Notamacropus eugenii: one gene and its partners. The protein of the gene in region 3 interacts with the protein of the main gene of each other region in a pairwise test. Links are inferred from orthologs where the notes say so. Each region holds a gene or a part of one and is shown on either strand. Other genes may lie near its edges. The genes, in order: IL1A, SAV1 and HAX1.

Evidence for each region.
Region 1: the proteins of HAX1 (region 3) and IL1A interact in binary tests that used the Homo sapiens proteins (3 or more experiments, as listed by UniProt). The link is inferred for Notamacropus eugenii from reciprocal best matches to the Homo sapiens genes HAX1 and IL1A.
Region 2: the proteins of HAX1 (region 3) and SAV1 interact in binary tests that used the Homo sapiens proteins (3 or more experiments, as listed by UniProt). The link is inferred for Notamacropus eugenii from reciprocal best matches to the Homo sapiens genes HAX1 and SAV1.

The regions. Positions count from the first base shown.
Region 1 is NC_092872.1:717,206,797-717,215,313, forward strand, and holds the start of IL1A (interleukin-1 alpha), read right to left. Parts: upstream 3,332-8,517; 5' UTR 3,263-3,331; intron 2,453-3,262; 5' UTR 2,444-2,452; coding exon 2,397-2,443; intron 1,513-2,396; coding exon 1,464-1,512; intron 1-1,463. UniProt on the Homo sapiens protein: Cytokine constitutively present intracellularly in nearly all resting non-hematopoietic cells that plays an important role in inflammation and bridges the innate and adaptive immune systems.
Region 2 is NC_092872.1:308,773,872-308,781,376, forward strand, and holds the start of SAV1 (protein salvador homolog 1), read right to left. Parts: upstream 3,257-7,505; 5' UTR 2,850-3,256; coding exon 2,756-2,849; intron 1-2,755. UniProt on the Homo sapiens protein: Regulator of STK3/MST2 and STK4/MST1 in the Hippo signaling pathway which plays a pivotal role in organ size control and tumor suppression by restricting proliferation and promoting apoptosis.
Region 3 is NC_092873.1:378,175,622-378,183,473, reverse strand, and holds HAX1 (HCLS1-associated protein X-1), read right to left. Parts: upstream 3,172-7,852; 5' UTR 3,066-3,171; coding exon 2,660-3,065; intron 2,562-2,659; coding exon 2,380-2,561; exon of another isoform or gene 2,233-2,379; intron 1,886-2,232; coding exon 1,834-1,885; intron 1,656-1,833; coding exon 1,549-1,655; intron 1,442-1,548; coding exon 1,351-1,441; intron 853-1,350; coding exon 767-852; 3' UTR 553-766; downstream 1-552. Other genes in the region: UBAP2L (ubiquitin-associated protein 2-like), read right to left, coding at 5,560-5,655, 6,516-6,566, 6,977-7,174. UniProt on the Homo sapiens protein: Recruits the Arp2/3 complex to the cell cortex and regulates reorganization of the cortical actin cytoskeleton via its interaction with KCNC3 and the Arp2/3 complex. Slows down the rate of inactivation of KCNC3 channels. Promotes GNA13-mediated cell migration.

The DNA of each region.
Region 1 (8,517 bases), on a different chromosome or scaffold from region 3:
GACCTCATTTGGAGTTTTCTTGGCAGAGAAGCTGGAGTGGTTTAGCCATTTCCTTCTCTAGTTCATTTTACAGTTGAGGAAACTGAGGCAAACAGGGTTAAGTAAGTGGCCTAGGGTCACACAGCTAAGGCCAGATTTGAACTCAGGAAGATTCCAAGCCTACTACTGCATCCGCTGCACCACCTAGCTGCATTTTACATATTCAGGTAGGCATGTATGCACACATACATAGATGTAAATACATGCATATATGTATATGTGTATGTGTGTATCTCCCTAGATATAGATAGATAATTATTGAACATTTTAGGGCCTCAGGTTTCTCATTTGGAAATGATGGAATTGGACATTCCTAACAAACTTAAAATCTTATAATCCTTTGATAGACAGTTGTATTTATGACTCAGAAAGGGTCCTTAAGATATTCCTGTACTGCGTGAGAAAGGGATCTTTTATCAAGGAAATCCAGTGAAATGAAATATAATCTGCTTCCATTCAACTTGGCCTGCCATTTACCATATTGAACCTCTTGCTTCTGCAGGGAGACAAGGACAAAAGATCACATTTCTCCAAGCACAGAAATCTTTTTTTTTTTCTAATTTTTATTTATTTTTAATTAATTTATTTAACTTTTAACATTCATTTTCACAAAATTTTGGGTTCCAAATTTTCTCCCCATTTCTCCCCTTCCCCCACCCCAAAACACAGAGCATTCTAATTGCCCCTATCACCAATCAGCCCTCTCTTCTATCATCCCTCCCTTCCCTTGTCCCCATCTTCTCTTTTGTCCTGTAGGGCCAGATAACTTTCTATACCCCTTTACCTGTATTTCTTATTTCCTAGTAGCAAGAACAGTACTTGACAGTTGTTCCTAAAACTTTGAGTTCCAACTTCTCTTCATCCCTCCCTCCCCACCCATTCCCTTTGGGAAGGCAAGCAATTCAATATAGGCCATATCTGTGTAGTTTTGCAAATGACTTCCATAATAGTCATGTTGTGTAAGACTAACTATATTTCCCTCCATCTTATTCTGCCCCCCATTGCTTCTATTCTCTCTTTTGATCCTGTCCCTCCCCAAGAGTGTTGACTTCAAATTGCTCCCTCCTCCCATTGCCCTACCTTCTATCCTCCCCCCCACCCTGCTTATCCCCTTCTCCCCCACTTTCCTGTATTGTAAGATAGGTTTTCATACCAAAATGAGTGTGCATTTTATTTCTTCCTTTAGTGGAATGTGATGAGAGTAAACTTCATGTTTTTCTCTCACCTCCCTTCTTTTTCCCTCCACTAAAATGTCTTTTGCCTGCCTCTTTTATGAGAGATAATTTGCCCCACTCCACTTCTCCCTTTCTCCTCCCGATATATTTCTCTCACCGCTTAATTTCATTTTTTTAAGACATGATCCCATCCCATTCAATTCACTCTCAAGCACAGAAATCTTAAGAGGCTGACAATCATTGCCTTACCTGACTCAGTGAGACTTGGTCAATGTCCAAAAGAAATTCCTCATTTTCACTGCAAAGCAAGGAGGAATGCTTTATTTGTTGTTTGGTCACCGCTTCTTGGCAACACGTTTTAATGATCATGTCATTTCCAGGAGTCACACATAGACAGATTCTAATCACACCAACCTTCACATCATCTTTAAAAATTACCTACAGCTCAATGTGACTACATTTACATATGGAAAGCCCTTATTAACACAGATCCCTCTACTTCAGCGCTAGTGATCTCTTGAATAGGCTCTGACCTGGGAAAATAGTTTGCTAGAAAAACCAAAGCAATTTTAAAAATCAGTATGTTTCATCTAGTTAAGAAAACAGATAGTTGGCCAAGTGTTTTAGAATCACTCTTTCTACTCAGAAATATTGCATGTCAATTACGTGTGTTACTAAAAAGAATGAACTGTATTTCTTTAAAGTATTCCATAATTCTAGTACTTTGTTAATCTAGTTAATAACCTTCCACCCACTGAGGAAAGGAAAGGGAATACATGTGCACGCACGCACACACGCACACAAACAATCGGTTCATAGTTCTGATTAGTATCAGGTAAGTCTGTGTTCCCTTTCTCAAATCACTTGTAGCTCAGCAAAGGAACATGAAGCTAACATTCATAGACCAGTTCTTGCACATTCCTATAAACAACTTTCTGGAATGCCATCCTTCCTTCTGACAAGATTTCTTTGGATTTTGTCTGGATTTTGTTTTTTCCAGGCTTTTATCCAAATCTGCCCTGATTCCAGATCTAGGACACATCTGTGTGAAATCTCCTGTTGGCCTGTGGCCACGTTGCTTACAATTTTATTAGTTGGACAGTTCAGTTTTACCCTCTCCTTGTAGCTAGCCAGCATTCAGACTGCCTTGTGGCATTAAAACAAAGAAAAATACCTGCTTACCCATAGGAGTAATGGAGCTCATCATACATGTCAGGGACTCTGGCCATGATAACTTCCTTGTTGAGAAAAGCAAAGGAAAGGGAATAAATGTTTATTAAGTACCTACTACTGTGTGCCAGGCACTGTGCTAAGCACATTGCAATTATTATCTCATGACATCCTGTTAGCAACCCCAGGAGGCACGGGCCTTTATCATTCTCACTTGACAGTTGAGGAAACAGAGTCTAAGTGACTTGCCCAGGGTCACATAGATAGTAAATTTATCTGGGAGGTCCAGCACTCTATCCACTGTATCACTAGCAGAGATGCTGGAGTGGTTTGCCATTTCCTTCTCCAGCCCTTTTTACAGATGAGGAAACTGAGGCAGACAGGGTGAAGTGACTTGCCCAGAGTCACACAGGTTAGTGAGTATCTGCGGCCAGATTTGAACTCAGGAAGACGTTTCCTTCGGACTACCGCCTGCCCTTTCCACTACATCACCTAGTTGCCCCAGACAGTGAGAATACAGAGAGAGAAATGAAAGCATCTCATTCTTTACCGAACCGACGTTCTACCAGGTGCTAATGCTGGATGCAATCCAGTTTGCTTTCTTATAAAAAAACTCAACGAGACAAAAAGCAGAGTTGGGAGAAATCAGTATGTTTTGATTCTGATCATTTCTGAAGGATCTCCTCCCCAATCCTCTCCCCCAAGCCTCACCCACCCCTCCGGGCACACTATCCCTTATCTTGAGGTAAGGCAGTGTGTCTGGCACTAGACAGACAGGGAGATGCTGAGCTTGTGGCTTCAGCCAAGGCAGTTTCAGAGATGGCAGCTGACGCCAAAAAGCATGCAGAGACCAGAGGCGGGACAGTCACACTACTTACCTCTTGTTCCTTCTGGCTCTGGGTGACTATGTCTCTCTGTCTGTCCCGGGAGACTTGTGACTGACTGCACTTCCCCGACTGCCTTTATATATACATGCATATACTGCCCGGGGGTGTGGCTAGAAGTTGCACAACATCAGAAGTCACTATGAAGTATTTTTGTATTCTTGGTAAAGGCGATTGACCTCGACTGTCTAGGGAGAAAGAAGGCTCACTCGGCTGGATTTTCAGTCCCACCACTTCCAAACTTTGGGACTGAGGGCAAGTTACCCTCTCTTTTCAGAGTCACTTTCCTCACTTGTAAAATGGGGATAATTACACTCATATTATCTACCCAGTAGGGCTGTCTTAAGGAAAATGTTTTTCATTATAATGTAATGCATTTGCATTAAGGTAATAGAGAAATAAGTGAGTATCCCTTCCCAATCAGGACTTTGGGGGCCTGAATGGGACAGGACAGTGGGCTGTCAGGCCCTGCTGACATCAGGAGTCATGGCCTGGTCTCTGTGAAAACTGCTTTCCCAGGAATCTGGTAATGAGTCTAGACACAATAAAGAGGGCTGCAGGGGACAGATTTCTCAGGATTTGGAACTGGGGGTGGGGTGGGGCCTGGGACTTTTAGCAACTGAAATATTCACCTTTGAAAAGGAACTTGAGTCCTTCATACCTCCCACAAATTCCAATGCAAGTATCCTGTGGTAGGACCCCTGAGAGCTCAGGGCTTGGTGAAAGTGGGTGAAACCAGTGGCTTCCAGGTCAGCTCTTTTTTTGCCCTGGGCAGTACTAGGTGGTGTCATTGTGGCTAGAGTGCTGGACCTGGAGTCAGGAAGACTCATCTTTCCTAGTTCAAATATGTTCTCAGACACTAGCTGTGTGACCCTTGGTAAGTCATTTAACCTTGTTTGCCTCAGTTTCCCCATCTGTAAAATGAGCTGGAGAAGGAAATGGCAAATCATTCCAGTATCTCTGCCAAGAAAACCCCAAATGGGGTCACCAAGAGTCTGAACAGTGAAAGGGACACATTCTAGCCCTTCCCACTTGCCTTGGTTTCTCCATCACAATGAATACATTTTGACATCAATCATCACCCTTCCTCCTGATTCTAACTCAGGTGTAACAGCATAGTACTTTGTGAGCTTCAAGTGCCAAGGGGGTTTAGCTAAATAAAAATGACAGTTGTGGGTTGGATCACTTGGGAACATCTCCTATGATCTTTAAAGTCTCCTGTCTCTCATGTACCTTTCTAATCTTATTTCATCCTACTCTTCATGCACCCTAAGCTCCCATCAGATTGGCCTGACAGCTCTCCTTGTATGTAATATTTCTTTACTTGCTCCTTCATAGTGGGAAGTAGTAACTGAACCACTATGGAGATGAGCTGCTGGGATGATGAATATTTTTCTCTTTGGTAATCTAGGAAAAACCCTGAGTCTATCAACAATTCTACCGGTTCTGACTAGTTTAGCATTGACTCCTCTGAAGAGAATATCCTAGATGTCAAGGGGACAGCTAAGATAACTATCTGGTCACTAGACTACTTCCTTCCTGTGACCCTCTTTAACAATATTTTCTTATGAAATGTTGAGGAAGAGAGGGTACAAAGAGAGACTTTGGTCTTGTGAGGTCTTAGGACTCTGTATGCTGTAAATATCACAAGAGACATGAATTTGTCACTCGGCCTTCGCCCAAGTCTGGAGTGTTCTGAAAAATTCAGGTTATACATTGCTGGTACCTGGGAGCTTGGGGAACTGTTCTTTGAATCAGGAAAAGTCTGGGTTCAAGATCTGCCTTTGCTCCCCATTTCATCAGGTAGTATTTGAACGTACGTCTTCCTGATTCCAAAATCAACACTCTCTCCACACTGCTAGAAGGATTAGACAGCCGCTGGTCTCAGAGTCAGAAAGATCTGTCTTTCAATCTTCCTTTAGACATTTAATTAGCTGTGTGACCCTATCCAAGTCACATGTTACCTTTCTCAAACTGAGTTTCTACGATGAAAGTAATAATAGCACCTACCTCATGGGGTCATTGTGAAGATCTAACATTTAAATAATTATTTATGTATGCATGTTCTGTATGTAAGGGTGTGCTGGTAAATGTTTAACAAACGACTTTCCAAAAAAATGTGCATGAGAGATTCTTTTAAAGTTAATTTCCATTACTAACATTTTTTCCGTTGCTTTCTTTAAGTCTAGATGATCAACACAACCAGTACACCCCCATCTGTATCCTAAGATCTACCTGTGCTTCTTAAGGGTGGGGACTAGGAAAACAGCATACAGAATGAAAATTCCATAATTCCAGTTCGTTCAGAAAATATGTCTTAGGTGCTTACCATGTGTAAAGCACCATGTTGGGTCTTTTACTTCAGTGGACACCTGGATTGCCACTAGTCTGGTGTATGTTGTAGATGAGAATTCTTCTTCAGATACTGGTTGGACTGAAAGACCTTTTCCAATTCAGAGCTTCTGATGCTCAGAGAACTTGGGGTCTCTTGCACAGTTGATAAAGAGTGATATAGCTCATGCCCTCGAGGGTCTTATGCCATGATGGAGGGTAGGAGATATGTATAAAAGTGATTATGATAAATGTAGGTAGTGGTAGTAGAGTTGGGGTTTGGTCAGTGCCCAGAAACAGTGCCCCAAAACAGTGCCCCAGTCAGGTGAGGTCTTAACAAAAGTCACCAAGGTCTTCCATAAGATCCTCATGCTTAGTCAAGAGTCTTGGTTAGACAATTCATCATGGCCATATCAGGAAGTCCCAGTGGTACCCAGCACTTAGGTCAGTGACTGGCTTATATTAAGTGCTTAAGAAATGCTTATTGACTGACTGACAGATGTACCAAAATGTGAGTAGTCATTCCCCAGTTGATGGCCTTCTGTTTCCAGGTCCTTGGACTATTATAAAGATCTGGTGTGTGTGGACACTTTTTTGGTTCTTGATCGCCTTGGGGTATTTGCCTAGCAGTGGATTCTCTGGGTCAAAAGGTATGATCTTTTTATCACTCTCCTAACCTAATTCCAAGTTGCTTTCCAGAATTTTTAGACCAATTCAAAAGTCCAACGACAATGCACCGGAATCATATACATTCTCTATATATCCTTGTGCCCAGGTCTATGCATGACTGATGGACTATGGGAGTAACTGAATCAATTTTTCAACTATTCTAATAGTCAAGTGTTAAGTAGATGATGGTTAACCAATCAGTTGATCCAATTTGTTGCCTGGTAATTAGCCTGCAAACATTCTGTCCAATTATGCTTTTACATATGGTTAGTAGCAAAGCCAGTTAATCTTAAACTCAGTGAAATATATTCAACAGAACCTTCTGTTCCCTCCGTAAGGAGGGAAGCAAGGAGTTCTGGGTCTACATCCATGATCCAAAGGGCAGCAACAGGAACAGTTACATTGATGTGGTTGGGGTCTCCCACAAGCATGATTGGTTCATAGAATGGTATGCTACATAGAAGAGTCCTGATGGACTAGGGAATGAGGAGGAAACCTAGGTTTAGTCTTTTCTCTGTCACTACTTAAATGAGCAAATCTTTTGATCATACTGGGGCTCTGTTTTCTTATTTGTAAAGTTGGGGTTTTGGGCTACATTTTTGTTTGGGTGCCAATGTCTGTAAGATCCAGTTCTCAAATTCTGGTTTGGGTTTAATCACGTCTTTAGTGGTACTCATGTTATTGTGGAAATGTCCATTCTACGCAGCAAGCTTCATCATTCCTTTTCCCTTTTCCTTCTTGTCCTGCTTCTCCCCTACTTTGATTCTTTCTAAACCTTCCTTTGGCAGAGTTCGAACAAATACGACTATGTCATTTACAATTTCCATCCAACTGATAATAATAGGAGGTGTTTGTCTAGACCAGGGGTTCTTAACCTTTTGTGTCTTGGGCACTTTTGTCAATCTGATGAAGTTTAAAGACCACTCAGAATCCTGGGGTTTTTTATTTTTAATACAGAAAATATAACACATGGAATTACAAAGGAAGCCAATTATATTGGAATACAATTACCTAAGTGTTTGAAAAAATAAACTCCTGGAGTCCAGTTCAGAGCTCCTGGTCTGGGTCTTTGTGGTTTGGAAAGGTCTTTATTCCTCCACTGCCTCCTTGTAAGACTCACTGACCCTGTGAGTTTGTTACAACAGGTATTGTTATCCTTTTTTTACAGATGAGGAAACTGAGGTGCAGAGAAGTTGAGAGATTTACCTGTGGCTACGCAGCTAGTTATATATCAAAGGGCAGGATTCAAAGTTTCCTGTCTCCAAGTCCAGGAATCCTCTATTAAGACATACTATACACCAAGCACTGGGCTTGACTGGGGGGGATTACAGGGACAGAGATGAAATCATCCTTGCATCATGGAGCTTTTAAAATATTGCAACATAAGCCAGTGGTTGACAAGTGAAAAAGAACTAAGGGTAGACAGGAAGCTCATTGTTGCTTATTCCTCTTTCTAGTAACTGTGTCTTATACAGCTAGGTTCACAGAAAGTGTGAAGCAGTTAAATTGAGTTGGGAGCTGTATCTGTTTTGATCCCTGTGTTTTTCATTCCCAATGCTTACCAGGGCAGCTAGGTGGCGCAGTGGATAGTGTGCTGGACCTGACATCAGGAAGATTCACCTTTCTGAGCCTTAGATACTTAACCAGCAGTGTGACCCTGGGCAAGTCACTTACCCCTGTTTGCCTCAGTTTCCTCATTTGTAAATGAGCTGAAGAAGGAAATGGCAGACCACTCCCTGTATCTTTGCCAAAAAAACCCCAAATGTGATTACAAGGAGTCAGACACGGCTGAAAAACTACTCAACAACCCACCGACAAAGGAAGTGCTTACCATGGTGCCTGCGTATACTAGATATTTAATAAATGTTTATTGATTGGTTCATCAGAGATGCTTGATTTATTGGGATTGATTGGGTTGATGCTTGGGATAGATGATTGACAATAATGAATTATGGAGGGAAGGAAGAGCTACTTAACTTATTTTACTCTTGCTTTCTCTATCAAGAGAATTTTTGGACTGGAAAAGCCTAGAAAATGAATGGTCACTTAAAACCCAAAATAAGGATGTAATAAAAGACTACAAATTACCAGGTCTAGTGAATACTTCTCACAGTACTGAAAGAACTAAGAACTGTAATTAATAAGGCACCCTTAGGGATTTTGAAGATTGTGGAGAGATGGAGAGGTCTCCAGTCCTAAAGGCCTGGAGAAGGCAAATGTTACCCCTGTTTTCACAAAGAGGAAGTACT
Region 2 (7,505 bases), on a different chromosome or scaffold from region 3:
CTTAAATGTCTTGTCCTCTTACCATAAGGCCAATTATGCCCAGCCAAGTCTCAGTCTTGTATCATTCCACACTCCCAGTGTGCATCATTATACAATTGCTGAACAAAGGAGAAAAATCACACAACTGTTCTGAGTCCACTACAAATTTGTTACCTAACTACATGTGTCCTCATTGCTGCTAGGCAATCACTCCATACTTTCCTATTTAATTCACTATTCCACTCTCAACAAATGTTCTTGCAAACCTCTTCTCCCCTCCTCCTCACCTTATAATACTCTGATACAAACTGCTACTATTTCCTCCTTCACCTGAAGCACGATGTGGCCCCTCTCCTTGCCAAGGCAAACCCGGATATCTGCATAAGTGGTTCCATTCCATTCTATCTCCTCCAGCGGTATGCCCCCTCTATCATGCCAATTCTCTCACTTAAATACAATCTCTGTCTACTGGCTACTTCCCTCTTGCCTGAAAAACATGGTTATGTCTTGATCTTCCATCTCCACTAATTCTCATCCAATATCTCTTTAGTCTTTTGTGATTAAACTTCTTAAGAAGGCCACATATAATAGATGCTTCCACTACCTTTCTTCTCACTATCTTCTTAACTTCACAATCTGGCATCTTCTAACTTCATTATTCCACCAAAATTGCTCTCATCAAAGTTAACAATGATGTTCTAACAGCCAAATACAATGGCCTTGTCCTAATCTTCAGACTTTTGGACCTCTCTGAAATCTCTGACACATTTGGTCATCCTCCATTCCTCAACACTCTCTTTGCTTTAGGTATTCAGGACACTGCTCTCTCCTGGTTCTCTTCCTACCTGCTCCTTCTCAGTCTTCTTGGATGGATCTTCATCCAGGGGAGTCCCAGTAACCTTAGGTATCCCACAGGGCTCTATTCTGTGCCCTCTTTTCTCTCTGTATTATTTTACTTAATAATCTCATCAGCTCCTATGAATTCTATTATCATCTTTAATGTTGATGATTCTCAGATCTCCTTATCCAATCCTAACCTCTCTGCTGAGCTCAGCTCCCATCTCCAAATGCCTACTGCACATATCTTAGAGACATCTTAAACTCAACATGTTCCAAACTGAACTCATTCTCCCCCCCTCCTCTGTGGTCCCAGCTAAAATCTCACTTTATACAAAATGTCTTTTCCAATCCCAATTAAATAAACTTAAAAGTTTATAAAGAGCTTAGTACAGTTTGGTCCTTAGTAGATGCTATATAAATGTTTATTCCCTTTCCCTTGCCTTCTCTGCCCCCTCCATCCCTCTTAATTCTAATCTCTTCTGTGATGATTTACTATTTATCCTCTATATAGCTTCTTTGTACATAATTGTTTGCATGTTATCTCCCCCAATAAATTGTGAGCTCCTTTACGGGCAGGAACTGTCAATGCCCAGTGCTTAGCACAGTGCCTGGCACACTGAAGGCATTTAAAAGGGGCTGCTAAATGGTGCAGTGAGTATAGCACTGGGCCTGAAGTTAGGAAGATCTCAGTTCAAATCTGGCCTGGGACACTTACTAGTTCTGTGATCCAGGACAAGTCATTTAACCCTGTTTGCCTGAGTTTCCTCACCTATAAAATGAGCTGGAAAGGAAATGGCAAACCACTTCACTGCCTTTGCCAAGAACACCCCAAATAGGGTCAAAAGGAGTCTGCTACAACTGAAGGACAACAGAAACAGGCACTTAGTAAATGTTTATTGAATGTCTCACTTTCATCATTGTACCCCCAGCACCTAATAGGCTACCTGCCACATAGTATATTAGCCCTCAATAAATGCTTTTCTATTTATTTACTTACACATTCTATGATCCAGCAAAACTGGCCTCCCTCCTGTTGTTCTATCACCTGTTTCTGTGCTTTTGCACTGTCCTCCCATGCTTCGAATTCCCTCTCTTCTATGCCTTAGAATCCCTAACTTCCTTCAAAAGTCAGCTCAAGTGCCACCTCTTTTATCATCCCTCCCCATCTGCTAATACCGTTCCTAAAAATTATATTTCTTATTTATGTTTATGCATACTGTTTCCCTATAGAACTTAAGTTCCTTGAAAGCATTTGCCAATTCATTTTTCTCTAGCACACAGCAGGCCTTTAATAAAGGCCTGCTGTTTCACCAGATGTCTAAAAGCTGGAACTGGTTTCCAAACACTTCAAATTTAAACTTTTAGATGGCTAACTCCCTGAAGAATCATAATTCACATTGTTACACTAAGTCTTTTATCGTAAGTGAAAACAATGCCAACATGGATACAGAGTAACATATAACGTGATACTCTGTCCTAAGGGCAAGATTTTGATATCTCATGTACTGTTTTTAGTTAATTGTTCGAAGGAGAAAACAAACCAAAGCAAAAGAAACCAAAAAATAAACATCATTAAAAATAGTGCCCTTGGAAGTAACCTAAGTCAAGGAGACACAGGTAAAGCAACCAGGCAAATCCCAGAGTTATAGGTATGAATTATATATGTGAATGTATAGATTTTGGCCAAAGCACGGGCTGACTGGTGCCTGGCACCCCTTCCCGCCAGCCCCAGGTCGCCCAAACCCAGCTCAGCCCTCATCCACACGCAGCTCCAAGCGCTCCTTCTCCACCCTCCCCGGCAGCGGGGCCAGCAGAAGCCAAGCCTTAAACTCCCGGGCTTCAGGCCCCGAAGGGAGCGCAGGGCCACGGCAGCCGGCCCTCCCTTCTCGGCGCCGCCGCCACGCCCCTGCCCCCTCTCGGCTCGCCAGGGACTCACTCCGCAGCAGTGGCGAGGTCTCCTTCTTTACGTACTTCCCCTGCACTTCGGCCGGTTTGGACACTTCGTTCTTCGTTTTCTTTCGCGACAACATCTCGCCGGCCCGGTCCGGGGCCCCCCGAAGCCTCGCAGGCGCCCAGCGAACTTTCCTAGAGCGGGCAGCCCCGGCCTCCGCCGCGCCAGGGGGCAGCGCCACAGCCCACTTCCCTTCCAGCCGCTAGCGAGCCGCAGTCGCCCGCCGCCCCAAAGCCCCGGCTCCTCCGCAGAGAATGCTGCATTTTACGGGGCTGCTAAGTGTGTCGGCCGCTCCGCACGCTCCCGTTCGACCCTTTCCGGAAGCTCGCCTGCTCCGCGGGGCCGCCCAGGGAAGCGCAAGCGAACGAGGCCAGAGCCATGATCCGCGGCGGCTCGGCCTGTGCCCGGGAACGAAATCGCGGCAGACTCCTGCGCCCGGGACCTTTCCTGTAGGCTGCAGGGGATTCTGGGGGATTGTACGCAGCACGTGCCCTCTTCCGCCCGTTCTCTAGCCGGGCACAAACAGCGCGGGGAGAGCTTAAAGGAGTAGCCAGGGGCGGCTCTTCTTAGTGAGTCCGGGGAGGAAGCCAGGAAAGAAGAGTACTTGAGGACAGGAAGGAAGACGGGGAAAGTCTTCATTAGATTCCATCTCAAGATCTGTAAGTTCGACCCTCCGGGGAAAAAAATGTTCAGCCCTAGCCCGACAAGGGCTTAAAAAGAGAAGGGGAGAAGGGAAGGAGAGGAGAGGATCAGTTTAAAATTGGTATTTGATAGGCAAAAGTCAAAATCATTCCCTTCCCAGCATACAAATGAAATAGAAAATAGGAAAAGGAAACATTTATTCTTAAAGAAAATATGGAAAAACAAAATCATATATCACAATTATATGAACAAAATATTAAACATAAACTTGAAAATTGCCACTCTTGAGCAGGTAAGAGTAACATCCAAGTTGTGGGCCTGGGTGACTAGGAAAATGGTGGTACACGCCAAAGGAATAGCATAGGAGGAGTGGAGGATATTTGTGGGAAAGATAATAATGCATCCAAGAGCCCAGGATGCAGTCTGACCAGTGAAATTCTTTTTACAAAGCTTTGTTGAAATATACAGTATTCTTAAAATCAATATGCTCAGTAAATTTAGGTCGTGTGGTTGTCCTATAAAAAGGTAATAGTTGTATGGACGGGACTCATTGATGACATGGATAGATTTCTCTAAAATCTGGCTTACCTCTCCAAGGAAGACTGAGTCCTACCTCAAGAGCAGAGAAGAGCCATGACTGAACTCTTGCTTCTTCTCTTGCCTGTTTCCAAGAGAAGTATCAAGCTATAAGTACATCTATCTGCCATCTCAAATATCAGTATTCTAGGTGTACAGGTTGTTGTTGTGTTCGTCTTTCGTTTTCCAAGAAGACCATGACATCAGAGAAATGATGATATGACTTGCGTTTGACTTTATTTTGAGTTTAGGAGGGCTGTGCAAGGTCACCAGCCTCACTTTCTCCTCCTCAGGTGTACAAGAATAGTTCTGAAGGAAAGCCAGGTCCCTGATTACTCTTAAAGATGAGAATAGCCCTCATTCAAAAAAGTGTAGTGCTGTCAAAAAAAAAATTTAACTTCATAATCTGTATTGTAGACACAAGTCTGCCAGAAACAATTTCACATAACTTTATATATAAGCATTTCCAGCTTAGAGAGAGAAATGTTCAAACTGAACTCATTCTTATGCCTCAGGACGTCTTTATGCTCCAAGATAATTTTCTGAAATATTTATAAGAATCTATAAGAACTGTTAAAGTAGTTTGGTATGACATTTCAGAACAATGGTCATGAATATTAGTTATTTAATCTTCGACTAGAACCACTCAATTCCTTCCTGAACTATTCCTCTCAAATTCTGAAAGGATCTTCTTTCTAAAATCGTAATCTTTTCTGAACAACAAGAGGTGCTTCTTTCTTACTGGAAAAGAGATTATTTCCCAAGGATGGGTCACCCACTACTCTAGTTATGATCTTAATAAGAGAAGAGGTACTCTGTTCAAAATTTGTTTTCCACTTTTAATCCAGTTTCCTGAATATTGACCTAACCCACCTTCCTAAGGTGACAAGTCTGGGAAGGATTTTTGAGACTGGAAAAATACATGTTTCTTCATATTTCTAGAGAAGATCAAAAGAAGGTTTCCACCTTTCCACCAAACACTGGTTAAACAAAGTAGCATCACAAATGAAGAATAGCAAGTAAAACCATTTCAAACAACTAAACAATCAAAGAAGTTACACACATTGGAATATATCAAAGAATGAACTCTTTAATAATAAGATAGCTCATAACAAGACAGAAAACTCAATATCAATTAACTGCTGTCCCCTTTTCCTTTTTCTTTCAATTCCATCAATTTCTTAAGGAAATTAATTCAGATTGTTTAGTGGAAGGTCAAATACTGAAGGTGAAGCTTAAATACTTTGGACACATGGAAAAGATTGAAAGCAAAAGGAAAAGGAGACTGCAAAGGAGGAGATGGATAGATGGTTCCATGGAAACAATTGAATGTGAACTTGGACAGATTTTGAAAGATACAGGAGGATGGAAGGGCTTGTAGTGCTATGACTGAACAACAATAGCACAGAATACTTGTTCAATCCCTGAAATCAGGACATACTGGTGAGCCAGACTCCCCTGTACGTTTACAGCTCCTCTATACATCTTGTCCAAGGATTGTCTGGAACCACAAGTCTTTTCCCAAAAAAAAGTACTGGCACCAGCTCTATATCTTGTTCAGGTACTCAACATCAAGTATTCTCTCCAACAACCTGAGTCAAATCTCCTGCATATTCATCAGTATGCAAAATGTCCCAGGCTTGGTTAGAAAACCAGATACACGAAAATTCAAGATATCATCTATTGGAATCCCTGATTTCCTTCAAGACAGCTGAGAAAATCTCAAAGGTCTGCAGAAAGTTGTTTCCCATCCAAGGTTACCTCACATCTGCTTTGTATGTATCTAGTTTCCCACCCACCTACATCCCATTAAGATGTCCATTTCTTTCCAACTTTCCTGACAGCTCCCTTTTCCTTCCGCCCCTTTTCAACTACACATTGACTTCTCTATCAAATAGCCTGTGGAACCGAATCTCAAGAGCCTATTCTACTCCAACCCTCTAAAGAATGAGAACAGATTTAGGGCAGAGATTGGGGAATTCTCACAAGTGGTAAAAAAAAAAAAAAAAAGCTCCAGGCTTATCTAATCACTGATTCTAGGAAGCAGAAGTTGACTCCCTCCTAAAGGAGCAAGCTATTGGGATTTTTTTCCACCAAGGCATTAGGATAGTTGCAGGAAAAGTTCAAATGGAAAACTGGAGGCCTTGGATGCTCCTGAGAACATAGAAGTAAAGGATGCTCTCTGCAAGGAATCTTCTCTGCTCCCTGCAACTTTCATAGCCTGGGTGAGAACCTGGTTTTACTGAGTCAACTAAATTTATTAGAATCCCATGCAGGAAATGCTCTTTGTTCCTTTTCAGGTAACTAAGATGGTGACTTGTTTACAACAGGCCTCATAAGGATGACAAAGGATGGGGTGAAGTTCCTAAAGAAATGGGTTTGATAGATTGGATTTATGCAGTCTCTCTTTCCCTCCCTCTGCCAGACCCTATGTCTGGATATGATTGCTAAAAGATATGTGATTAATAAGAAAGCAATTGATGACCAGTTCACAGAAGTGTTAGCAAAACTGTAGAAGGAAATTGAGCACCAAGACTTATATCATACAGACTTTCCAAAAGATGGGTAGACTCAAATTTATGGAGAATGGAAGAATTTATAACCAAACAAGAGATAAAGAACATTATGAAATGCAAAATGAACAATTTTGATTACACTAAATTGGAAAGTTTTTGCACACACATACAAAAAAAAACCAATACAACCAAGAGTAGAAGTGAAACAGAAAGCTGAGAAACAATTTTTACAATCAGTGTCTTTGCTAAAGGCCTCATTTCTAAAATATATAGAGAACTTAGTCAAATTTATAAGAATACAAGTAATTCCCCAACTGATAAATAGTCAAAGGATATGAACAAGCAGTTTCCAGATGAAGAAATTAAAGCTATCTATAGTCATATGAAAAAATGCTCTAAATTACTATTTATTAGAGATGCAAATCAGAACTCTGAGCTACCACATTATATTATTATATATTATATTATACCTATTATATTAGCTAACATGACAAAACAGGAAGATGATCAATGTTGGAGAACATGTGGGAGAGTTGGAACACTAATTCATTGTTGGTGGAGCTGTGAGCTATTTTATTAGCTAACATGACAAAACAGGAAGATGATCAATGTTGGAGAACATGTAGGAGAGTTGGAACACTAATTCATTGTTGGTGGAGCTGTGAGCTGATCCAATCATTCTGGAGAGCAATTTGGAACTATGCTCAAAGGGCTGCAGAAATGTGCATACCCTTTGACCCAGCAATATTGCGTTTAGGGCTATATACCAAAGAGATCATAAAAATGGGCAAAGGTCCCACATGTACTAAAATATTTGTAGCAGCTCTTTTTGTTTTCCAAGAACTGGAAATTAAGGGAATGCCCATCAACTGGGGAATAGCTGAACAAAGTGTGGTATATAAATGTAATGGAATACTATTGTGCTACAAGAAATGAACAGTTGGACTTCAGAAAAACCTGGAAAGACTTAAATGAACTGATGCTGAGTGAAATGAGCAGAA
Region 3 (7,852 bases):
CAGTTTTGAAGTTAGATGTTAGACTTTGTTCTATACTTTTTAAAAAAATGCCAGCAGTATGAAATGGAGATTTAGGATTTCACAGAGATTCCTTTTCATGATCTGCTATGTGTATGTAGTATTTAAGTTTAGAGAACAAAAATTAAAAAATGAAGATGTTAGTCCAATGACCTCCAAAGCCCTCTGAGCCTATGATCCTATGTGAACACTGAAACAGAAAAGATTGAATAAACTGCCTCCTTAACCTCTCTTTAAGTCCCTGGTCTCCTCTGCAGGCCCTCTCAAATAGCCAGCATTTGATAACGTCCATTACTTTTTACTAAATGTACTAGGTTAGAACTGCTGTGATTTAAAAAAAACTTTTATGCTAGTAACTTTATTTCTTAGTGAGGAATGTTCCTCACTAGGAACATTAATACTTGATTCAAGTACAGGAATACAAGAATATTTATACTTGATTCTCATTCATTCTGAGGTGGGGGCAGATCAAAGAGAATCAAAAGGCCCAGATGGGCCCTACAGGGAGCTGGACACACCAAGAGACTGAGGCAGTAGCATAAATAAAGATTTTATTTGGGCGGTGACAAGGGGGAGAGGAAATGAAGAGTACCTCTTTCTTTACCTGTCACATTTCCTACCCCTCCTCCCCCATACCCTCATTGTGGCAGGAAGATCAGCTGAGCCAGCTGGTGATGTCAGGAACCCTAGATGGTAATGAGCAGGCCAAGGAGGGGAGGGATGCAGTCCTCCATGAAGTCATCTTGGGCTACCAAGACCGGAACCATCGTCTTAGGAATGAATTCAGGATGGAGGAGCTGTCCCCCAACTCTGGATGTTGTGGGGTACCTGAATCTAGAGGAGAATTAAATATCCAGGCAGGAAGGAATGAACCAGAAGTGTGTCAGATTGAGGATCCTGAATTCTAGATGCACTGGCCTGTTTGCTGGAAAATAACTTTCATCCCCCCAGTTCCAGTCCTTTTGCATGGGTTGATCCCCTTGCTGGGTTGAGTTCTCTCTCTGAGGAAATAACTCTGGGTGCTTTTATTTAGTTATCTGTGTACATGTGGTTACCCCAATTAGAATGTAACTCTCTTAAGGGCAGAATAGTTTTATTTTTGTCTTTACCTCCCCAGGGTTTAACACAGTAATTGGTATTTAATAAAGGTATGTTAAGTGGATTTAATTGAGAGGTCAAGAGGGTAAAGGGGAACAGGATATAGCCTGATATAGTGTAGACTGGAACTAAGGAGAGCAAACGGAAGAGAATTAGAACTCAGCTTCTCCTTCAAGGGCCTTTCACCTCTGTAGCTCAGGGATGGTCTCACCATTGCCTCTCTCTTCAACTCACCATCTCTAGAACTGCCATCTGCTTCTCGACGAGTTACTGTGGTTTCTTTGTGGCCCTCACTATCTATGACGGTGCGCCGCTCCTCTACCACCTGTGGGAACAGTTATCCCACATATTCAGGATCAGAACAGATGACATATTCCATGGACCCCAGCCCTTCATGATCCTCCCACCCCCAACCCACCCCATCTAGCTCACCCCATCTGGTCCAGTTATTTTGGTAACGGAAACGCTTCTGAAGTATGATTTAGGCTGGGGCTCTAGGACTTGACCCAGGCCCTCCTGTGAGACCCGGGAATCAAGATCTGGTTTGGGGGGAGGGGGGGGTGAGAAGAGATGAGGCATTAAAAAAAGTCGTGGAGGGGTATCAGATACTCAGAAAGCAAGCTGGCAATGTTCAGAGATAAGAAGTGAACTTGAGCGCAAGGGTCTGAGAAGGTAATCAAGGACCCCTTGTGGCCCTGCCCCTTCCCTGGCACATACCCTTGTCCTCTCTGGTTGTAGCATCAGGAGTCACTGGCCACATGTCATCAAACTGCAAAAGAAACCACAGCTGATGAAAGGGGTCCCTTCTGGTCACCTCCCTAACTCCATCCTCTGCCCCACCCCGCTTCCTGAACTACCCTCGCTACCTTGGGGCCCCCTGTGTATGGTGACAAGGGCAATGGACGTGAAAGCAGGGGACCTGGGTTTGAAGTCTGGCTCTGCTCCCTCGCGTCCTGTGGCCTTGACAAAGCACAAGGCCCATCCCTTTGTCTGCAGACTGGAGGCCTCGGAGGCCTCTCTGCCTTCTGGGGGTTCCTCCCCGAGGCTCATCACTCTCCACCCTGCCAAGCTCAGCTCCTGTCTGGCCTCCTGGCGCCCCGGCACTAATGCCCTTACGTTTGCAGCCGGGCTGGACCATCCGTCCTGGAAGCTGTGCGCTGTCTCCTCATTAGACTAAGAGCTCCCTGCACTGAGGAACTGCGTCCCCCGGATTTCTCCCACATCCCCGAGGTTTGGTGGCTCTTCCAGGGGAACGGGCCTCACCCCACGGAGTGGCCTCTTGGAGTCCCAGTCCGGGCCCGCTTTGGGAGATGGACGCCCTGGCCCGCTCTCCGAGTCCCGGCTGAAAATCCTAGCCTGGTGACTATCTGGGTACTTGAGCATCGAGTCCCGGATGGTCTCGCCCTCCCTCCGCCTCCCGTCTGGGCGCTCCGGGCCTGGGAGCTCTGCAAAAGGGCAAAGGCACGTCAGGGCCCGGGGGGGGGGGGGGGGGGGGGGGCAGGAAGCGTGTCTCCTGCCTCCCAGCGTGCGGGGCTTCACGCACCGGGGGCGCGGGAGGGCAGGGTCCAGGCCCCCATGTCTCCGAAAATGCGGTTGAAATCTCGAATCAGCTCATCAAAGCCAAAGTTATCGTGGAATCGCATCTCATCTCCAGGCCCGAAACTAAAGCCAAACGTGAAGTCCTCGGGGGCCCCAGGGCCGCCGAACCTGGAGCCCCACGCGCCGCCCCCTCCTTCGTCCTCCTCGTCCTCCTCATCCTCTTCTCTAGTCATGCCTCCAAAGAAGGGGTCCCTGGGTCTGGGAGGCAGAGAGAGAAGCACAAGGACGTGGACACCGAAAGGGCACCTAAGCGGGCCGGAGCCCGGGGGAGGCTGGGTTTGGGGCGTGTGTGTGTGCGTGTGTGTGTGCGTGTGTGTGCGTGTGAACATGCGAGCGAAGACTGTTGACATCTAGACATACACACAGCCCTTCCCCTGTCTCTCCTCACCCCCGCCACCTGTTGCGACAGTTTGGACGGGTGCACCGTACAGTCAGGGGGCGAAGGAGGGAGATGTCAGGGGCCGGGGTCCCCCTCCGAAGGCTCCCCCCATTTTTTTAACCGTCCGGGCCCCACTCTCACCTCTGAGGCCCCGAGAATCCGAAAAAGCCCCGGAAAAGGTCGAACAGGCTCATCCCTCAGGCGGGACTCGAACCCTCCACCCGCCCGCACCCCAAGGCCCGGAAGGGCACCAGACGGCGGGGATCCACCACACTGCCGGAAAGTGATCTTATCTTAGGACTGTGGGGGCAGAGGGCGAGGGAGAGGGGAGGTTTCGATGCGGCCACACTGCCGAAAAGCGAGAGAGCAGTACGACCGTACTGCCGGAAAGCGAGGAGGGCAGACGGACCGACTGCGCTACTAGGGTAGTTGCGACACTGACGGAAAAGTAGTCACACTGTCGTAAAACGAACGTAAGAGCCCGCTCGTGGGAAGGAGGGAGCGGCGATGCCGGCGGGGGCAGGACCAAGGAGCGGGCTGAACTGTAGGAGGGCCGGAGGAGGGGCACATCCGGGTCGAAGTGGAGGAGGAAGCGGTTTTACTCCCGCGGAGATCCGTGGTTCGGTCCCCGGGGGCTTCGTGAGACAGGTGGCTGTGGAAGCAGAATCTCCGGATCCTGCCCTCCGGCTGCTCCCGGGGAGGTCCTGCAGCCCAGCTCCTGCCCCCCAACCCTGCCCCTTTAGATTGATGCTCCCGGCCCCACCATGCTACAGAGCCCAGAAAGCCTGCGTTGTGTGAGGGGAGGCCAGAGTAGCCGGTGCAACAGGAAACCCAGGACCCCTCGGGTTGGAGTTGCTGAGAGCTCGGGCAGGAAGGAAGAGGGCTGGGGATCGGTCTGGTCAGGAAACCTAAGCCAGACAGTGCAGGGCCTCGGGCACAAAGCTGCTAGAGGCGCCCTGCTCCATCCACCCCCGCCCGCTCTGGCAGCCCGAAAGCTCTCCAGGATACGCGGGCCGAACCCAGATTTCCCTTGGGACAAACAGGGCAACAGTTCCTGCTGGAAGGCGCAGGGAAGCCTCATCAGTGGGGCCGAGAGAACAGCTCTGGGGGTTGGCAGAGGCTGAATCAGAACAGGACAGGCCACGTTGGAGCACGGGGTAAAACCCTCGAGATCGAGGTGACGGTCTCCAGGGTGCCTGTCGGCTCTGACGTTCTGAAATTGATTCTTGCCAGGCTGATACGTCTAAAAGCAAGATGGACAAGATGTCTTCAAGGTGCATTCTGTGTTTACCAAGGCAGATGGAGACACGAAGACAGACTTCCTCCATCCTCCTCCCTAATTAAATTTTGTAGCCACAAGGGGGTTAGCTTTCCGTGGGCCCCGAGGGTAGCACAGATGTGGAAGTAAGGGGGAACGATGGTGAGATGGAAAGGGAAGCTGGAGTTGCGGTGGCTAGGGGGAGGGGTCGGATGGATTTATTGTTCACCCCGCCCAAAGTGTACTCTGTATTTCCACTCCTTTCTACCTAAACAAGACCCTTCCCAGAAAATCACAAACTGATTCTGCCAGTGTTGTGTACCCCACTCCTGGGTGCTTCCCAAGTAATATGTTTAGATCAGCCCATGTTCCACTGCTTTACTGTGCGAAAACATTGTTTCCAACCCAGTTTCTCCCCACTGCCCTTCTCACTTCCTAGTTTAACACTAAAGGTGAAGTGCTTCTGAGAATTGAGCCGAATGACTCAGTGTCAGGAAGAAGGGGACACCGGCACATCATGGTTAGGAGTTGTTAAAGGGCGAAGATTTCATTTTATTCCACTGCCTTCGGAGCCTGCTAGTAGAGGCCCAGTTGGTACAGTAATACTTATTCACCCAGCTGGTCATCAGGGAGACTGAGGACATCCTAGACGAAGCAAGAATGGGCAGAGGCTGAAGGTAGAGGTTTTCTTTTTATATATACAAGACACATTAATCCATTAAATTTGAGGACACAGTACAAAAAAAAAAACCACTTCAACTAATTCATCTGACAAATCTGTTCATATTCATGACTTTTTTTGTTTTGTTTTCCTAATAATAAAAAGGGAGACAGGGCTGTTAGGCTGATGATATCTATCTGGAGTCCTCTCCCCCAGCCACTTCCCACCACCAGGGTGAGCAGGAAGAGGAAGAGGAAGGCCAGAGCCCACAGCAAAGAGTTTCATAATCTTGAATGCGGGGGTAGTGTGGGGAGAGAAGAAAAAAGAGAAAGGAAAAAAATACAAATCCTATATTACATACAAGAGGATAGGTAGGAGAGGAAAGAAAAGGGCCTTCAGAAGTGAAGCTGAGGCCTGGGGCAGGCTGCGGGGGGGCAGCAGGACCCTCCACTCCACGTGCTTTTGTGTTGTAGCTGTTTCCTTAGGTGCCAGGCTGAGGCCCTCTCGGCAGGTAGGGGGGCCAAGGAGGTGAAGAGGGCCAGGGCCTCAGTTGGCCCCCCAGCTGTAGCTGTTGTAGGCAGACTTGCTGCTCTGGGGCTTCTGCGGGATGGAGCTGGTCTGGCTACGTTGCCCGCTGCCCGTCTGCAGGGGAAGGGATGTTGGGGTTGGGGGGGGAGGGAGGGAGGACAGGGAGGAGAAAGGAGGCCAATTAGCAGGGACCTTTGGGTGGGAAGGCCTGGGAACTGTCATGTTCCTCCATTTCTCCTCCTGCCAAAAGACCACTCAAAGGCTACACTTTCCCTTAAGCCCTTAATCCAAAGAAGTTGTTGTCTGCATAATCGATGGAACCCTTGGAAGTTCTAGTCCCTCTTCGGTCAGCAATAGCATAATTCTGATTTCAAGACAAGAAAATGCAGAGGGCAAGATACCTTCAGAGCTCATCTAAGGGACTAAGTCAGTTTCTGCTCATTCTTCATCTTAACCCTCCACTTCACCAAAAAGGCCACTCATCTGGAAAAAGATTCTCAGATGAGTGGTCAAAAGAGCTGGGTTAAACTGATTTTGATCCCTGTGACTCCTTATTTGCACTGCCTTAGAAACAAGGGAGCACTACTTTCTGCTGTGGAGATAGGGCACTAAAAGAATGGGTTCCATAACACCCCTTCCACCCCCCATCATATCACTGGACCCCTATATACTGAGCAGGGTAGAGAGGGGAGACTTGTCTAAGGCTTCCAAGATTCAGATGCTTTCCCAAGAACCCTATCCACTCTAGTAGCCAAGTGCCTTCTACAGTTGGGAAGAGAGAAAAGGAGAGGAGGAGAAGGGAAGGGGAGGCCGGAGAGCCCAGCAAAGTGTGTGAGTGTGTCTATGTGTGTCTGTGTATCCCGATTTGTGGCCGCGCAATCTTTCTTCTCCTTGATTTCCCCAGGGCTGTGGCATGTGGGGTTTGGGACTGGCAGGGGGTAGGTACAATTATATCATTCAGAGAGTTTCATTACCTGCTCCTCCTGCTGGCGCTGGCAACAGAGAATCATCTGCAAATATGGTAGCTGAGGCAGAACCAGGATATATGGAAAATAAAGGGACAAACTTTGACAATAGAAATCCATGGTTAGAAGGGAAAGCTATAGTGGCAGGATTGGGGAGGGGTGGGGCATGGTCCAGGGCTATTGGGAAAATATAGGGGATGAAGTGTGCCACAACAGGGAGGGGACTCAAACCCCCTCCAGGTACCTATCGGGCTGAGCAAAAAGCTCCCCAACCTGGCCCCCTCTCTGTCAACTCCCTTGCCGGCCGCTTGTGTCGTGTACGCTTGTGTCTGTGTGTGTTGTGTGCCCATGGCCGGCGCTGGGGATAGATGGGGAAAGGGAAGGGAAGAGGGAAGGGGGAGGCAGCTTTAAGGAGTGGTAGGGAAAAGGATCAGTGGGGGAAGAAAGACAAGAGGGGAACGGTGTGTTACCTGGCCATCCTGCTGCAGATGGTGATGGAGGATCTGGGAGTGTGGCTGCTGATGGGGGGTCAGGATGTGCATAAAAGGGGCTGGCGGATAGGCAGCGGCTGTGGCCGGATTGATGGGCCCTCCACTCCCCAGGGCTGAAGGCAAGTTGAAGGAGGCAGCAGGAGTTCCAGAATGAAAACCTTGTTTCTCAAAGGACTGCTGTTCAGGGATGGGGGAAAGCACAATGGAATCAGCAGGGCCATTCCTGACTACTTCTGATTCCCTATCCTTTAACACCATTCTTCACTCTTGGCAATTCATCGAACTAGATTGAAAACTCAGAGCAAGAGCCATAATTTCCACTCTCTTTTATTCTTGCATTATCTTGTACAATGTAACTACAGGCTAAAAGTGCCAATGACACTGGTTGAATTTAGCACTGCTATGCATAAAGGTAGATAGCATTCAGAACTACTTTGAGTTCTTAGAAGAAATGGAGTAGTAGTCTGAAAATTCTTGGATACTGAAGGTCTTCAAATGGACATCTCCCTGAAATCCTTGGTAAATTATAGTAAACTCTTAATTAGCTGCCATCATGTGGAAACAGTAAGAAACCAAATCCATGGATAATCTAGAAAGCCTTACTTCAGTTACTAAGGTCCTACTTTCTCATCTCTTTCTGTACTCATCCATTTCAGGAATGACAGGGGCCAAAAATCAGAGAGGATGAGGGCCAAGACAATCCCAGTCAGTTTTAGGATACTCCGAGTTGGCTACTCCTCATCTTTATATATCATTTCTACTCTTCTGTTCCATTCTAAAGAAGCAGGAACAGAGATGATAAACCTTTAGAGAAGAAATGGAGATTTTTTTAAGATCAAGTGCTCTGATCCAAGA